Drosophila melanogaster: one gene and its partners. The protein of the gene in region 2 interacts with the protein of the main gene of each other region in a pairwise test. Each region holds a gene or a part of one and is shown on either strand. Other genes may lie near its edges. The genes, in order: PDZ-GEF, Rap1 and Rgl.

What was found.
Region 1: the proteins of Rap1 (region 2) and PDZ-GEF interact in a two-hybrid assay, tested with the Drosophila melanogaster proteins (one study listed by BioGRID).
Region 3: the proteins of Rap1 (region 2) and Rgl interact in a two-hybrid assay, tested with the Drosophila melanogaster proteins (2 studies listed by BioGRID).

What each region holds. Positions count from the first base shown.
Region 1 is NT_033779.5:6,321,758-6,327,228, reverse strand, and holds the start of PDZ-GEF (PDZ domain-containing guanine nucleotide exchange factor), read right to left. Parts: upstream 3,463-5,471; 5' UTR 3,111-3,462; intron 2,057-3,110; 5' UTR 1,962-2,056; coding exon 1,932-1,961; intron 1,873-1,931; coding exon 1,627-1,872; intron 1,517-1,626; coding exon 1-1,516. Other genes in the region: Ddr (discoidin domain receptor), read right to left, coding at 5,094-5,258, 5,321-5,470.
Region 2 is NT_037436.4:1,858,294-1,864,337, reverse strand, and holds Rap1 (Rap1 GTPase), read left to right. Parts: upstream 1-2,098; 5' UTR 2,099-2,277; exon of another isoform or gene 2,278-2,408; intron 2,409-2,521; exon of another isoform or gene 2,522-2,661; 5' UTR 2,662-3,126; coding exon 3,127-3,681; 3' UTR 3,682-5,223; downstream 5,224-6,044. Other genes in the region: HBS1, read left to right, coding at 1-1,305. UniProt on the Drosophila melanogaster protein: Ras proteins bind GDP/GTP and possess intrinsic GTPase activity. Plays a role in photoreceptor cell determination.
Region 3 is NT_037436.4:13,916,504-13,921,628, forward strand, and holds the start of Rgl (Ral guanine nucleotide dissociation stimulator-like), read right to left. Parts: upstream 3,463-5,125; 5' UTR 2,691-3,462; coding exon 2,688-2,690; intron 1-2,687.

The DNA of each region.
Region 1 (5,471 bases), on a different chromosome or scaffold from region 2:
AATTGGAGGCCATGTTACCGCTCCCACTCACTGGCGGCGTTTGCGGTGGAGCGCAGTCCGGCTGGTCAAGTAGCATATCGACGGAACTAAGGCGCACCATGTGCGCCCGATTCGAGGCGCTGACGCTGGACAATTCGTCGGTGGTGCTATCAGAGCGACCGTGCAACTTAGCAATATCATTGGCGCAAATACGGCGTGGACTTCGCACGGACTTGAAACTGCCGCTGCCTGCGGAAATGCTTCCGGATCCAGCGGTTCCACCGCCATGCTCAAGAGCCTGCATAATCTCCTTGAAGCCAAGCAAGTTGCTCTTAACGCTGATGCTCAAATGGGTGGTGCCTGTGAGTATCTCGAGGGCTCGCTTGCTAGTCACATGGTCCAGCGACTGTCCATTTACTTCGTGAATCTGATCGCCTCGCTTAAGGCCCACATCCTGGGCTTTTGATCCCGGCTCGACGTGCGAAATGTAGATGCCCACTGCTGCGTTTCCAGTGGCTATGGCGACGCCTCGAAGCTCGTAGCCGCCCACGATGCGGAAGTTGAGCGGCTCGTCACGTGACGATCGAGTGAGGGTACAGCTGCGCATCCGTGCTTTGGCGGCACAGGCTATGTGCAACAGGCGCAGCTGACTTAGCAACTTTTTTCGCTCTAACAGTGCCTCAAAGACTTCCAGAAACTCCATCATCTCATAGTCCGCCTCGAAATCGGTGAAATGGTTGTTCACCCAGAGGAGCACGACGCGTGTTACGCGATCTCGCAGTTCCTGCGTCTTGTGCGCATCCACCTGCTCCAAATCAAACCAATGCAGCAACTTGCTGGTCACCTCTTGTGGGTTCTGAATAAAGATGCGGTGTGTGAGCAAAAAGTCCTCCACGTATGTGGGATCGGTCATCGAGTTTTCCTCGACCAGCTGCTGTAGCAGACGCTCTGGAGTACCGCGGATAACTACGTGACCACGCTTCATATTTAGCGAAGCCGAAGCTCCTGTCGCCGATCCGCCACTGCCAGCAGAATCAGTGCCGGCGCCGCCAATGGACCGGAGTTCAGTGACCATAACAACGAAACCATTCTCGTCCTCATGTCGCCGGGTATTCTCCTCGCCTTGATGCTGAATACGGTAGTAGTCCGTCTGCGTAATGCACACAAATTGGCAGTCATCGCACTTCGTACGCATCACACCCCGGTGGTACAGCTTGTCCATGGTGGGTAGAATGCCGAAGGAGTCTCCCATCTGCAGCTCTTCGCGACTGCCATTTGCATGCTCGATCTCCACCGCTCCGTTTATGAGCACCGACCATGAGTCCAGTTCCTCACCATCTGACATGACCACGGTTCCCGCCTTGTCCACAACGGCGAATACCATCACGGAACATAGTGCTCTTCGCACTGCCAGCGTAATGTTTGTGAATGCCTTAAGGCCCTGCGTGAACTCAAGCAGTACTTCCACATCTTCCTCGCTGCGCTCCGCCGGATCCTTTTCCAGACAGTCACGCACGGCATCCCGCACGGTAAGACTCTAAATAAATCAGAAAAAAAAAGCCAAATAAATAATCAGATGTTCTTCCTTTTCTAATGACATTCTAACACATCGTTGTAATGTATACATTGGATGTTTTATCCACTTACATCCATGCTCTCCGCCAGGTCCTCCTCGTCAGAGTCCACAACGGACTCCACCAGGCCGGAGAGGTCAATCTCCTCGGCCTCCAGCGACGAGGCATAGTTCGAGGCCATTGTATCGCTGCCGCTGTACGCCGAACTGGTGTCACTGGAGTGCGAGCCCCGGTTGCATTTTTGGTGCAGTTCCGGCCGGTTGATTGTAGTCGAGCTGCCCACCACCACTCCTGTGCCTGCTATGCTTGTGGGTGGATACTGTTGGGGAGAGAGGTCAATTTAATTCAAGTACAATAAGCTAATCTGCGCGCACTCACATGATGTCTGATATGGTGATACGGATCCATGAGGGGTAGCTTTTGCTGTGGATGCTGTCTACAACGACATGCCAACCTTTGCCCCGTTTGATGTGATATGTGATGAGATTAGACTTTATACTTAACTGAAAAGGTTGAGAAAGGACCATGGTTAGAAACAAAAGAATTAGTGTGTAAGTCATCTTATAAGTAAAGGATTCAATACGCTTCTGTTCTTTATAAACCTCTTATTTTATATCAAAATTCCGTACGTCTAAAGAACTGAAATCGGACTTCTAAAACCACAATCAACTTTCTGTAACTTGTTATATCCTCATGATCACGGATATAGATAAAAGCAACAATAGTGGCAACTTTTAAAATTGCCATTTGTTCATTGTTTGCTTTTGTAACCGAAAACAATTGGCCGAGAGATTAGCCATTGTATAGCGTTTGGGCCAATTTGAAGAAAGGGTGGCCCAAATCGCGGATGTAGTGGCATCTGCGGAGCTTTGATTGCGATGCACACGGCGCTCGAAAACAAAGGTTTTCGAAACGAAATTGCTGTGAGAGTTTGTTAGTCAATTCTTATTCGGCTTTTTGTTTGCTGGCCGCGCAGGTTGCTGCTTTTGTTTTTTAATTTTTGTTTTTTTTTTTTTGCTGGGTTTTTTTTGCTGCCCGCACTAACACACTTTCATTTTCCGCCACAACAAACACAATGCTGCCAATAAATTAAGGCAAACAAAAACAATCGGAGAGCGGGCGAAAATTCTCATGGGAGATTGAGTATGCGCTGCCTACGCGTCGGCGGAGTGTGCATGTGTGTGGGAGCCAAAGCTGCTACTGTACGTGAGAGCGATTGCTGAGCGTTTGCATGTGTGTGTGCGAGGGGGCGAGCGACACAGAAAAATAATAACAAAAAATGAAACGAAAATTGTAGGCGACGACATCCGAAGCGCGGATAAGCCATACACAACAATAATAATAGGAGCATTGCAAAATCAAAGCGTAGTAAATAAAACACACTTTGCACCACCCACACAGACAGCAGACGCACTAACACACTCGCACAGCCAGCAGATATGGGCGTGTTTGGTGCAGTTGAATGGTTTTTGCAGCCAGCAAGGGTCCTCCAGTGGCGGGGGGTGGGGAGTTGGTTGGGACTGTGTTTATGCCCCTGCACTTGCTAATTATACGCACTTTTTTTTTAGACGCAAGTAGTTTCCCAGCTGCCCTTTTTGCGTACACTGCTGCATAAAGAGATTCAAGCAGCCTGTGTGTGTATTGGTATTGTGGTGCGCATTGTTGGAATTTCTTTCACTCACACACACAAACACACATCTCGACGAGGAAAAGTGGCTGTTGCACTGCAGTTTTGTGAGCGCTTTTCGCTCTCAGCTGCGTGGCCGAGTGTGTAAGATGGTATTTCGAGTTGCTTTCATTTGGTGAATTAGTTTTTCGATTCGAGGGCGACCGTTTAATTTAGAAAAATTAAGTAGCTGAAAACTAAAAGTCCGACGCGTCTTACAGTGTGACCACACCGCTCAGTGATACCAGGTTTTCTATACTATCTATGACTATCGCTGAATTGCGGTATTTAAATACCGATTGGTTGGTATAGATTGTTCACTAAGTTCCTTTTTAATACGCTAGTGGCGCCACTTCTGTTTCAAAAAATACCCGCTGATCTGGGAATCGGTTATTTCTGCTTTATGTTTTTTAAAACATTTATTTATAGATGGCGCCTTGGTGATTTTTATTATTTTCATACATTACCGTTATCAATTTATAAATTGCAAACTTTTTAAAACAAAGTCAAGTTTGCCCCAGAAAATCGAAATGCTGTGTTTTTAAGGATTTTTCTTTATTTATAATCTAATGCAATTTCTTCCATTTCAAAAAGCGTACAATTCTGAGTTTCATCTTTAGAGTTCTTTTTATTAAACATGATTGTGCTCAACGATTTTCTTTCTTGTCTCTACTTTTTGCTTATTTATATTTTGAGTTACACTGATCTTTAGAAAGGGAAACGTATCGTTTAGTTTATGGTTATGCTAAATTAAAATAATTATATTTATATTTAGTAAAGAATCATTTTAAATATTTGGAATACATGAAAACCATTGAACTCTTAACTGAAATAATGTAAATGTCGTCTATCATGCAAATTTAAAACGAACTTACAACTATGCTTATGATTAAAACTTATTTTCTTAGATCGAGTTGATATAACTGCATATCTTTATTCAGCGAAACCTTTTTAAGCATTTGATAGAATACAAATTAAATAAAATAGATATACGGTTATTAAGACTTTGTACAGCACAAGAAAATAGGAGGGAAAAGGCACAGTAAAAATTTGGTTAAACAAAATACATTTTTGATATGCGTCTAATTGACTTTTGTGTAGACTAGAGATTTAAGAACGAATGTCTGCGATTAGCCTAGGTTTTTAACTCGAACGAGTTTAGATTTGCAGAAATACAAAGCAATTTGCACAATTGTTTTCACACTTCTTTGTTTAAACAGTTATTGTCAAAATTATATGCAGGCTTTAAATATTTTTTTTCCATCGCGATACATCGTCAAAATGCAGTTGTAATTTCCAGGAAAAGGGGCAGCAACGGCAGGTGGACATTATTTAGTTTTTATAAATATAGACTCATTTCACTTTACTCTAGTAAATATGTAAAGCATAATTGATTTGATAGATAGCGTTCAGGTGGAGGAGCGATAGGTACACACATATGTCAATGTTTTCATTTTCGATTCCATTTAATTATCCATTGGATAGAATGCACAAATATTACCATACGGAGTTTTCTACCAATATTATTTACACTTAAACTCTTTCAATGTGTATTATTCGAGGGATTTTATAAGCTATTCACTTGATTGTGTCCTTAGAAGTATAATATTTGTTAGCGATTCCTGTGTTTTACCGTACAAACAGTCGTTACCTCTGATATACATACATATTTGGATAATTTCCGATTGGGCATACCCAGTCGAAGAATGTGTAACGTATTAAATTCGGGGTTTGATTTGCGATTGTTATTCATTAAGTTCTCTACATGCATTTCTCTTTAAAATTACGTTCTTCCCGGATAGCTGTCGAAATTGATAATTGAATTATAACCTGCTAAAATCATGTTCAATTCGTATTTCTACGCCTAGAATGTTTCAATACATGTGTGTATGGGTCTGTGGCTTAAAACCTAAATTCTTGCGCTGCAGATACAAATGTATCTCGCGGAAACTGGGTCGACTCGACTCGTCGCGCTGCCAGCACTCGCACATCAGATCGTAAATCTCTCGCGGACAATTCGGAGGCATTGGCAAAAGTTCCTAGAAATACGAGGCAACATAATTCTTTGACCACATCAATAATTGTTTCTATAGCCACTCACATGCATTTTGTAGTCCCGATATATGAGGCCGATGTTTTCAATTACACTTTTGTCCGACAAATGCTCGTAGGGCTGCTCCCTGGCGAAAGTCAATATTTCCCACAGGGCAACCGCAAAGGACCACACATCCGATTTCGTTGTGAACTTGCCC
Region 2 (6,044 bases):
TACGAGAAGGAGCGAGCCGACCAGAAGAGCCACATTCACATGATTGTCATTGGTCACGTCGACGCCGGGAAGAGTACGCTGATGGGCCATCTACTGTACGACACCGGCAACGTTTCGCAGCGAGTGATGCACAAGCACGAGCAGGAGTCCAAGAAGCTGGGCAAGCAGAGCTTCATGTATGCCTGGGTGCTGGACGAGACGGGCGAGGAGCGGGCCCGCGGCATCACCATGGACGTGGGCCAGTCGCGTATCGAAACCAAGACCAAGATCGTCACACTGCTGGATGCTCCGGGGCACAAGGACTTCATTCCGAACATGATCTCCGGTGCCACACAGGCGGATGTTGCCCTTCTGGTGGTGGATGCTACAAGGGGAGAGTTTGAATCCGGCTTTGAGCTCGGCGGACAGACTAGAGAGCACGCCATTCTAGTGCGATCCCTGGGGGTTAACCAGCTAGGCGTGGTCATCAACAAGCTGGACACCGTTGGCTGGTCCCAGGACCGATTCACAGAGATTGTGACCAAGCTAAAGTCCTTCCTCAAACTGGCGGGCTTCAAGGATTCCGATGTGAGTTTTACGCCCTGTTCCGGACTAACCGGCGAGAACCTCACCAAGAAAGCCCAGGAACCCGCCCTGACCAACTGGTACAGTGGACGCCACCTCCTCGATGTCATTGAGAACTTCAAGATCCCCGAAAGAGCCATCGACAGACCGCTGCGAATGTCCGTGTCGGACATTTACAAGGGCACTGGCTCCGGATTCTGCATCTCGGGACGAGTGGAAACCGGAGTGCTGTGCCTGAACGACAAGGTGCTGGTGGGTGCCAGCCGGGAGCAGGCCCAAGTGAAATCCCTTACCATGAACGAATTCCCACAGACTTGCGTGTTCGCCGGCGATCAGGTCTCCGTCACCCTGCCCGCCTTGGACATCAACAACGTCACCGTGGGCTGCATCATCAGCGATCCACAAACCCCTATTCCGGTGACAACGCGATTCCAGGCCCGCATAATCGTGTTCAACGTCAAGGTGCCCATTACCATGGGCTTCCCCGTGCTGCTGCACCACCAATCCCTAATAGAGCCCGCCGTGGTCTGCAAGCTGACCGCATCGATTCACAAGAGCACCGGCGAGGTGGTCAAGAAGAAGCCGCGTTGCCTGGGCAACAACTCGTGTGCCCTAGTGGAACTGGAAACCAGCAGACCCATCTGCATCGAGCGGTATGCGGACTTCAAGGAGCTGGGACGCGTGATGCTTCGCGTGGCGGGAGTCACCATTGCCGCCGGAATGGTCACCAAGATCCGCTAGGTCGATGACCGCGCTGGATTTTGTACGAAATTTTAGTTAGATATTAACTTTTGTTGATTTCCTAAATATACATAGTTTATATGAATTGATTAAATCGAAAAGACGCTGAAGCATTGGAAGAGATTTCGGTCTGACCATTTTAGCGGTATCTTAAAGTGGAGTGTGTTTTTCATGGAATTAATCACTTTAAGAAATTATTATATTTATTATCATTGAATTAATCATAAGGAATATAATTACAATTTATACATAAATTGCAATATCACGTTTTTGGAATATTATGACCCCTACAATAATATTCCAAAAACGTGATATTGCAATTTTTGTATAAATTGTAATTATTTTCCTTATGATAAATTCTATGATTCAAAACTGTATCTCGAAAATGTGAATATGCGGCTGACTAAAATTCTGAATGCGAATCATATTGCTGATTCATGAAACAATCAAGCATTAGAATTTTTTCTTAAACTATCGGCAACACAGCTTATATATTATTTGCAAATTATGCTTAAAAAATAAAATAGGAATACCATAAAATATCACTTACTGTAGAAAACAATTTCAATATGAAATCGTATTAACAAAATTAAAATTAAAAAAAAATATATAGGGAAAATAACAATTTAAATATTTCCAAAATTTGATGTGCTAATATAAATTTAAAAGAATCAAATATATTTCGAATATAAATTTTATAGTTTATTTTTAAAATTTACAGCAATGCTTTAAAAGTGTCATCGCTAAGCCATTGCGATAGTCGTGCGTAGCCCTCGGCCTGCGAGTGCCGATAGTGCCATCGATGCTTTGGCAGCCCTAGTCTTTGAGTGTTCGCTGTTCGCTGAGGGCGAAAAAGTAAAGAAATTACAAGGCAAACTAGTGTTAAATTAAAAGTGAAGCGATTCGCGAGCGGCGACAGGTGAAGCGGTCCCCAAGGAGCAAGCAGTTGGCGGCAGCGAGTGAAAAGCATAGGTAAAACTCCGCCCAGAGTTGCCCTGCCGCCCGACATGCGGGTGCATTTGCGTGGTTCAGTTGTTTAGTGGCCGTTCGGTAGGCCGATGTACGCACATGGGTGCCCAGTGTGCAATTTAAGTGCATTTTAAGTGAGAGAGCTGAGTGAAATTTAAGGGAATCTCCGGCTTGAGGCGTTGCAGTGGGGCGCTGCGTTCGGTGCGGCCGCCTGGCAACCCTGAAAATGAATCATTAGAGCGAGAACGAGAACGAGAGAGTTGTGAAGAAGAAAAGAGGGAGTGCAGTCAGTTCTCAGCATACCAAAAAACGCAAACCAAAAAGACTCGCAAAGAATTTAGCGTTTATTGTGTCTAAAAAGCGCCTTTCTTCTTACTCCCCCCACAGTGTGCTCTCGGTAGCAGTGACGGCCGTCTCGAGGAACAGTCAAGCCAGGATATTTCCGCTCAAAAAAGCAACAATTGAACGCACGCAACTCGGCGGAAGGAGCGAGCGAGAGAGGGAGCACAAACACCATCACACATTCACACACACTAACACACACACACTCACGCAGTCACTTACACGGCACAAAGGTTATCAACAGCAAAAGCAACAACAACAAACAATTTACTTTAAATATAAAACATATATTAACTAATAAGCAAGAGCAACAAAAAAAAACAAAAACAAAAAACAACTGCAACCGACAAGCAATCGCCGAACAACGCCTAAAAACAAGTGATTTTCGAGGGAGAGCCACCTGGAAAGTGAACCCACCTACCTGGCCTACCTGCATTTTGGGTCTCTTCCCTAGAATTTAGCACAAAACAAGAGATATACGAAGGATATACAAACAGCACAGCAGCCAGCATGCGTGAGTACAAAATCGTGGTCCTTGGAAGCGGCGGCGTGGGCAAATCCGCGCTGACAGTCCAGTTTGTCCAGTGCATCTTCGTGGAGAAGTACGATCCCACCATCGAGGACAGTTACAGGAAGCAGGTGGAGGTGGACGGACAGCAGTGCATGCTGGAGATCCTGGACACGGCGGGTACGGAGCAGTTCACGGCCATGCGGGATTTGTACATGAAGAACGGCCAGGGATTCGTGCTGGTCTACTCGATCACGGCGCAATCGACGTTTAACGATCTGCAGGACCTGCGCGAGCAGATACTCCGGGTGAAGGACACGGACGATGTGCCCATGGTGCTCGTGGGCAACAAGTGCGACCTCGAAGAGGAGCGCGTCGTCGGCAAGGAGCTGGGCAAGAACCTGGCCACCCAGTTCAACTGCGCCTTCATGGAGACCTCAGCCAAAGCCAAAGTGAATGTGAACGATATTTTCTACGACCTGGTCCGGCAGATCAACAAGAAGTCGCCCGAGAAGAAACAGAAGAAGCCGAAAAAGTCCCTATGTGTTCTGCTATAAGACTTCCAAAAACCACCAAAACTAAAAAAACAAAAAAAAAAATATATAACAGAGGAGGAGGAGAGAGGAGCAAAAGTATAAGCGTAAAGTAAAGAATTTTCAAATTTTTTTCGTTCTCGTTTCGTTTTGGATCCGATGGCAATTGTCGAATTGAAATAACCAATCTACTATATACAAGCAAAACTTAAACTGACAAATGTTTTTAACTGTTTCAAGTTTTTGTAATTATTACCATTTACTACTATTATGATTGTACTATTTTTCGCTGATTAACCATTAATTCATATGGGGAATTATTATATATATATATCTACATATTTAAATATATTTGTCGTTCGTTTTTGAGCCGTTTTTTAAATTATGCAACAAGTGAAACATTCGTAAACTAAAACATTCGTATTTATTGATTCTTTTCGATTGTACTCTACACATCTACAACTACAACTACTTATACACGCGAAAGCCCAACCAACAACAAGTATATCTTTAAATAGAACCGAAAACAACATTCGAAACACAAATCAAATTAAGCTAAACTAAATTGTACGCCTAAAAGATAAAGATAACAAATTCCACGAGAGAAATGAGCAAATAAATCGAGAAAGGAAATGAATCATGAATAAGGAACATATTTTATAAAAATATTGTATGCAAATGATGTCAAAATGTTGCAAACAACCAGAAGTAATGAGCCCCCTCCCCCTTAGAAATTAGTTTAAAACAAATTTACAATTAATTGTTTACCACGATCAGTTGCATCAAATCTGAACCCCCCCCCCCAAACACACACATACCAGCCACATCCCACACACACACACACACATTCGCAACCAGAACTCACACACACAAACACACCTACACATTTCCGGCGCGCTCTCAGAGAGCGAAAAAGCTACACGAAAACGGAAGCGGAATCGAGACAAGAGGCTCCTGCGGCCAAGGCTCATTTCCGCTTCCTGGTAAAAAGAAGAGGAGCAGGAAGTGCAGAGAGAGCCACAAATTCTAGAATATTTAATACATAAGAAATGGTTTAACACAAACTAAACTGTCGTGTCAATCCCAAAATGAAAAGAAACCTAAAAACGAAGTAATTTACAAATATTTCATAATAAACATTGCATAAACTTCGCGTACGAGTAGTAACCAATATGCCCTTAAATCAAAGTCTAAACACAGCCAACAACCAACATTAAAAGTAAACTAAATAAAACCTAAGCCCAAGCGTATATATTAAATATATGATAAAGATACAAATCATTTTTGAACATAATAAACAACAAACAAACCAACCGTTACAATAACATAATGTAATAATGAGCGTGTGAAAAATGTAATTGAAAAACCATTTTTTCGAACTTGTTTCCCTACTGGTCGCGTTTTTGGGACCCCACACAGAGCCTCTGATCTCAGAATCCTGGCAGTCCCGAATTCGCGACGCAGTAGGTCGACATGATCGAGCATCTTTTAATTATTAATAAATGTATTATGTTTATAAAAAATTAAAAAGGAAATGCAAAAACAAAATAAAAATTAAATAAATTCATTTGTGGAGCGTATGCCTTATTCTTAGCATAGTTCATTCAGAAGTTAAAGACAAGACGATTGCATTGAAGTTTTGAAATATCTGTATTTGATACTTGGAATAGTTATATAAGGTTGTTATTCAAATATTTATACATATACAATTACAATCAAATAGCTCGTCTTTATAATTATAATATTCTGCTAGTTTATAGCACGCATGTTAATCCAGCGTAAGATCTGCGATAGGATCGATTCGGAGTTAAGTTGGGGCGTAGGAGTAGTAAAACCGCATTGTATCCACAGCTGATATGGTATGCAAGTTCCGAGAGATTCGCGGGTTGAGATATACAATCATAATGCATGCTTTTCGTAGAAGCCGGCGAATCGCTCGCCAGCAGTTAAAATGTAGAAAGTGAATTTTAAGACAGAGTTACGTGGTAGTTTCTATTACTGTACAATAAGTGGCTCGAGTTCCGCTTCATGACTAGGTTTTGGGCTAAGCAAAGTGCTATACTGGGGGACTCGCCTCCGATTCCTGGTGTGATGCTTGTTAATTAACGCTTTTTATAATCAGTCGAACGTGTGAGTGAGTGTGGCTTTCTAGCAATCTCTAGCAATCGCGGCTTAAAAGAGGCCGCCTTAGTATCGATTACAAATTATGCATAAAACTTAACTACGCTAATTTGGCAACAACGAAAGGGTAAACAAAACGTATACAAACAAGGAATATATGTATGGGTATATGGGGGTATTGCACGGTAGGGTAAAAATTGCACTTAAGGTTAAAACTAGGGTAATACCATCGCATCTTTGTGTCGAGATTGGGATAGGAGATTTCA
Region 3 (5,125 bases), about 12 Mb from region 2:
AGCACTGCGCTGCTGGCGATAAGAAATATGCTTGCTTATTTCGCAAATATAAGAAAGCTTCTCCAAGTTACACTTTGAACCGAAAACTGATTAGAATAAATCCTTCAAAGCTCCAGGCCAAACAACCCAGACCCATATATGTATGTATGTACATATTCATATATGTTTGTAAATATGCGCAATGCGCATACTTATAGAAATCTTTTTGTTTGAGATTCCTTCGTCTAATCAATATGCACATATATGTATTGCATTCGATTCGTACCAAGCCCCAGAACCTAAATACACTCATTTCATTCACGATTATTATTACAGCGAATGCCAAACGAGACCGAATGAAACAGAACACAACTCGGCGAGGAAATGACGATTTGCATACGGTTGATATTTTACCTTTTGAGTTCGAATGATTCATCAGAAAATACCCAGCCCGTGCAAAAAAAACTGCGGCAGAAATAAAGCTCATTAAGTAATGAAATAATATAGTATTATAATGCCAGACGACGGGCAATTGTCAAACATATTCGTGTTTGTGTATACAAGGCACCCAATTATAAAGAAATAACATCCAAGTATGAGGGGGCGCCTGATTGGTCGGCCCACATCATCATCTGTCTATATATAAAGCAGGTGACCTTTCCTCCAGAAAAGCGTGTGGGTGGCGTTTTCTGCTTTTCCGCCCAGGGGGGGTTTCTCTCAATTACAGATCTTCGCAAAAATAGCCAGAAACCAAAACAAAGGAGAGTCGAACCGCAACATCAAAGCGAAATGGTACTGCATTTGCATTTGGGGTGAATTTATCAACAAACAGCCATACAGCTGAGGTCACAATATTGATAGATTAAAAGTGAAAATACATCTAAGGAAATGGATCAATATTTAAATGATGAAACATGACTCTGAGATAGTAAAATAGTATTCCGTTTGAGATATTCGATTTATAGGTAAAAGTATTGCAATTTGTATCGATGTAAAAACAGTTCTTTGAGAATTTCCTAGTTCTTGGCGGCAATAGATTAGGTGTCCGAAATAAGCAATACATTTCGCTTGTCTTGAAAAATGAAAAGGCATTTATTTTGACCGCAATTGTAGACACAAATCTCTATTTTTAAATCGACGACCCCTGGCACGAGTTTTGTGAATTGCAGCAACAGAAGCAGCGGCAAAAAAAAAACAACGCAAAACAAAATTGAAAACGCCAAGGGAAAAAAACGACTGAAACTAAACACCAGTCTCTCCCCCTTCCCTCTGTCATCCCTGAATGACTGACTGACTAAATGACTGACTGGCTAAATGACTCTGACTGACTGTCAGTTACATGCGACTGCATCCGACGCAGTCAACTTGACAACATTTGCTGCTCCCTCGGTGCACATAAAAAAAAATGAAGGGAATTATGATCAAATTTAATTGCATCGGCCTACTAACACAGGTCCATCAAGATTTTACATCGTTTGTGTTTATGAGAAATAATAGAACAGGCATTACTTGGCATTCGATATTCTATCCCTAATGTCTCCTTTTCGCTATATTACAACATAACGAATATCAACCGATGCCACATCCTGTTGCAATTTTTAATTTCAAAAACCATAATTCATATCCGAATAAAACTTTTATTTAACGTGTATATGTACATATGTATCTGTCTCTACTGCAGAGCAGCTGTCCCGCTCTTTCGGCTATTATCAAACCACATCCGTTGGGCAGCAGCAGAGATGATGTGCAAACAATACAAAAACATATCAACCTAAGCTAAAGTTTGAGCCACTGAGCATAGCTCCCCACGTAAATTATTTTTTTTATGCATTCCCCCATCATTCGCCAGTGGGTAAAGGAAGTGGGGGGCGGAGCTTTTGTTTTGCATACAATGGGAGCTGATAAATGATTTCTAGGGGCACTCCGCATAAATGGATGATAAAGAAACGAAAATATAACTGGGACTGCAACTGAAATGATCTCAAACTGATTCACCTTTAAATTCATAGCTTTAATTCGTTATCTTTCACCTGCGAAACAAATTATATACATCACTTAAGAATACCCTACACCATTTGTTCCCAAGCATAAGTATACCAATTTTGAATGCTTTTTAATTAGCATATAAATTCTCGAAACTCCCAAAACAAAGCTTCTCCAAGCTTGGCAGTTCCCATATGATTCATTTATAACTTGTAAAAAATTCCCGACTTTTATCGATTCCTATTCCTTCCCCACCAAAAGAAGGTGTTTTATTTCTGGACTCCACTTAGGCGTAAAGTTTCCATACCATTGCATTTTTGCCCATAATCATTGTTGACATTTCCTTGTGAATCGACACCAAGACACTACAGTAATCCCTCTCCACACAAAACCAGATCAAGTACACAGCAACTAGTTTTCAGGGTTGAAAATTCTCGGACAAAAAAAGGTGCGCATTATCGATAATTATCCATGTCGTTGATTTAAGGGCGAGGGTCAATAGTAATAAAATTCAAGCCATTAATGTTTTTATCTTATCAGGAGTTTGTTACCGATGTATTGCTTATTGCAGAAATATGATGTACTTGTTTTAAATATATTGTTAAAAAAAAACATTTCAATGTATCAACGTTCGAGTGACCACTGTAAGGGCAGGATAAGAACCAATAGATCTAAAGTGCGCTCCTTTCTAATCCGGCCTGATGGATTGCGTTGTTTTTTTTTACCATTTGAGATTGGCTTTTGTTCCTTGAGAAATGTTGCTGAGATTTCCACGGATGCACTGCTTGGGTTTTCCTATCCGTTATCCTCTTCTCGTCGGTTCGCTTTAATTTACACGTCTCCTTTAATGGCTTCTGGTGTTTTATTTTTACACCCAAGTGCAGTTCAATGGGTGGTGGGGGTGTTGTATAAGTAAAAGGCAAGTAAAATCGATATTCCTGCTGCTCTTTTTTTGTACTGGGCTTCTGTGTTCTGGCCGCTATACCGTTGTTCAGCTTCCTGGGAACGATGAGTCAACGGGACATAGAGAAACACACCCAGTAGCAGTAGAGGTGGGGGGGTTAATATTGGTATTTGTTCTCCGGTTAGTGGTAAGTGGTGAATCCTTGGTCCGCGAAGAAGGGTTCGTTGCACTACGTCTATGCGTCTGCCTGGCAATCTCCTCTTTGCTCTCGTGCTTTAGCACGTCTTCCCTACTATTTATTTGTTTTCACTTTTATCTCTTTTCCTTTTGCTAATGCTGCACTCGCACACACGTAAACGGCAATTTTCGGGATACCGCTTGCATTTTCATTCGCTTGGCTGAAAATCTCAACATGAGATATCCATGTTATTACAAAAACATTATACAAAATTCACATTCGGGGGTTTCTCTACTTGGAAAAGGGGAGCGTAGGGGGCGCAGAGCGTAAAACGCGCGCGAGACACACACACAAAGCTCTCGGTAGAGAGACACGCGACGCAACCGCCGCCAACAACAGTCGAAGACGAACTCTGCCCGCTTAGAACAAACGACCGCCCGAAACCCCATCGTCTGTATCCAACTCTCGCTTACTCTCTCCCACACGCTCTCTCTGTCGGGGATCCACTCTCTGTCATTAAGAACGCAAGCATTTTCGGGGGATGTTCTTACTCGACGGATGTAACTGTAGCATCCCCGTTCTCTCAATTGCACTCTCTCGTTCGCTTTTCTCAGGTACTCAAGTTTTCGACCGTGGGAACTTCTAGCAAAACACCCACTATGGTTTTACACCTTGCGTGAAGGTATATTGGTTGCATCGAACAAGTTCAAAAACACAGTTAACATTAACAATGCATTCCAATATTGGTTCCGAATTTAAAACACCTACATATTCTCACAATTTATAGTCAATAAACTTAAAATAGAACTTTTTCCAGATAAACTGTCAATTTACCATTGAATTGGTAATTGATTTTATTTCTTTTGCACTATGGTAACTTGGCCTTTTAAATCAATTTAAACAAATTTCTTTAAAACTTCTTCCTAGTGACTGTTGACACGCTAAATATAAATAAATAAGTTTCTTAAAATAAATACACGGTATATATATGTCGTATCAGAACAAACATAAAAATCTTACTTGCTCTGGCCATTCGCGCTCTGTTTATGTTTTTTCTGATGAGCAATTGACTGTTGGCTTGTTTGTTTCTAATCAGAACTCTCTCTCAACTCTCTCTGTCAATTTTAGTATTTTTTGGTATATATTTACACTGACCCCCACAATAGCATTTGTCTTCATTATAGCTTCACATTTATCAATGGAATTTATGGGCCTCCTAAACCTGTAGGATTTTATTCCAAATTTTTGATTAATGCCAACAAAGAAATTTAAATAATTTTCTTCCATGTTTTGTTTGGCTTTTTAGGCTATCATTTGACCAACCGTTCAAACATGTGAACTGGAATGACATAATTATGGAAATGGGAATACCTGAGTGTTGTCTGGTATTTGGTAACGATTTAAAGAAAGCTGGCGGGGAAATCAATAAGCAGAAATATTAATAAAACGTGCATTTACGTAAGCGCCAATCAAACGATGCCTGCTGTTTTGTTTGTTGCTTGTAGACATTGGATAAATATTCGAGACCATGAGCACGTCAATTGATCAATTAGCGAATGCAACAAGTTTCAATACAAAAAAAGGCACTGATATTTGTTATGCACTTGGTGATGCTGATAACGAATTTTATATAAAGCTAGAAAAAGAGATCAATTAAAGATTGACCCTCAATGTGCTTCATGATGTTGGTGTCAAAATAATACGGTTTAAAGCTATAGTAAATTTATTTAAAATTATTGCTGTTCTCCCTATCAGAAAGTATGGAGAATAATATTTTAAAACGTAAACGTCATAATATATATTTAGATGAAAAATGTTGTGCTCCAAAACTTTAGTCATACGAAAAAACCGCTCTTGTGTTGTGATCGTGATAATAAATATCACAAAAATTATAAATTAAATTATAAATTATAAATTTCTTTAATTCGATTTTTCGGCACCACTCTAATCAAAATGTTGCAACATATTTTTCATTAACTTAGTCTACGGACTATTTGACCAAATAATTAGCAGACCTGGGCAAAAAGCCTCCACACAAAGTTCGGTGCTCTGCGAGATACTTTCAAAATGACTTTCTATGC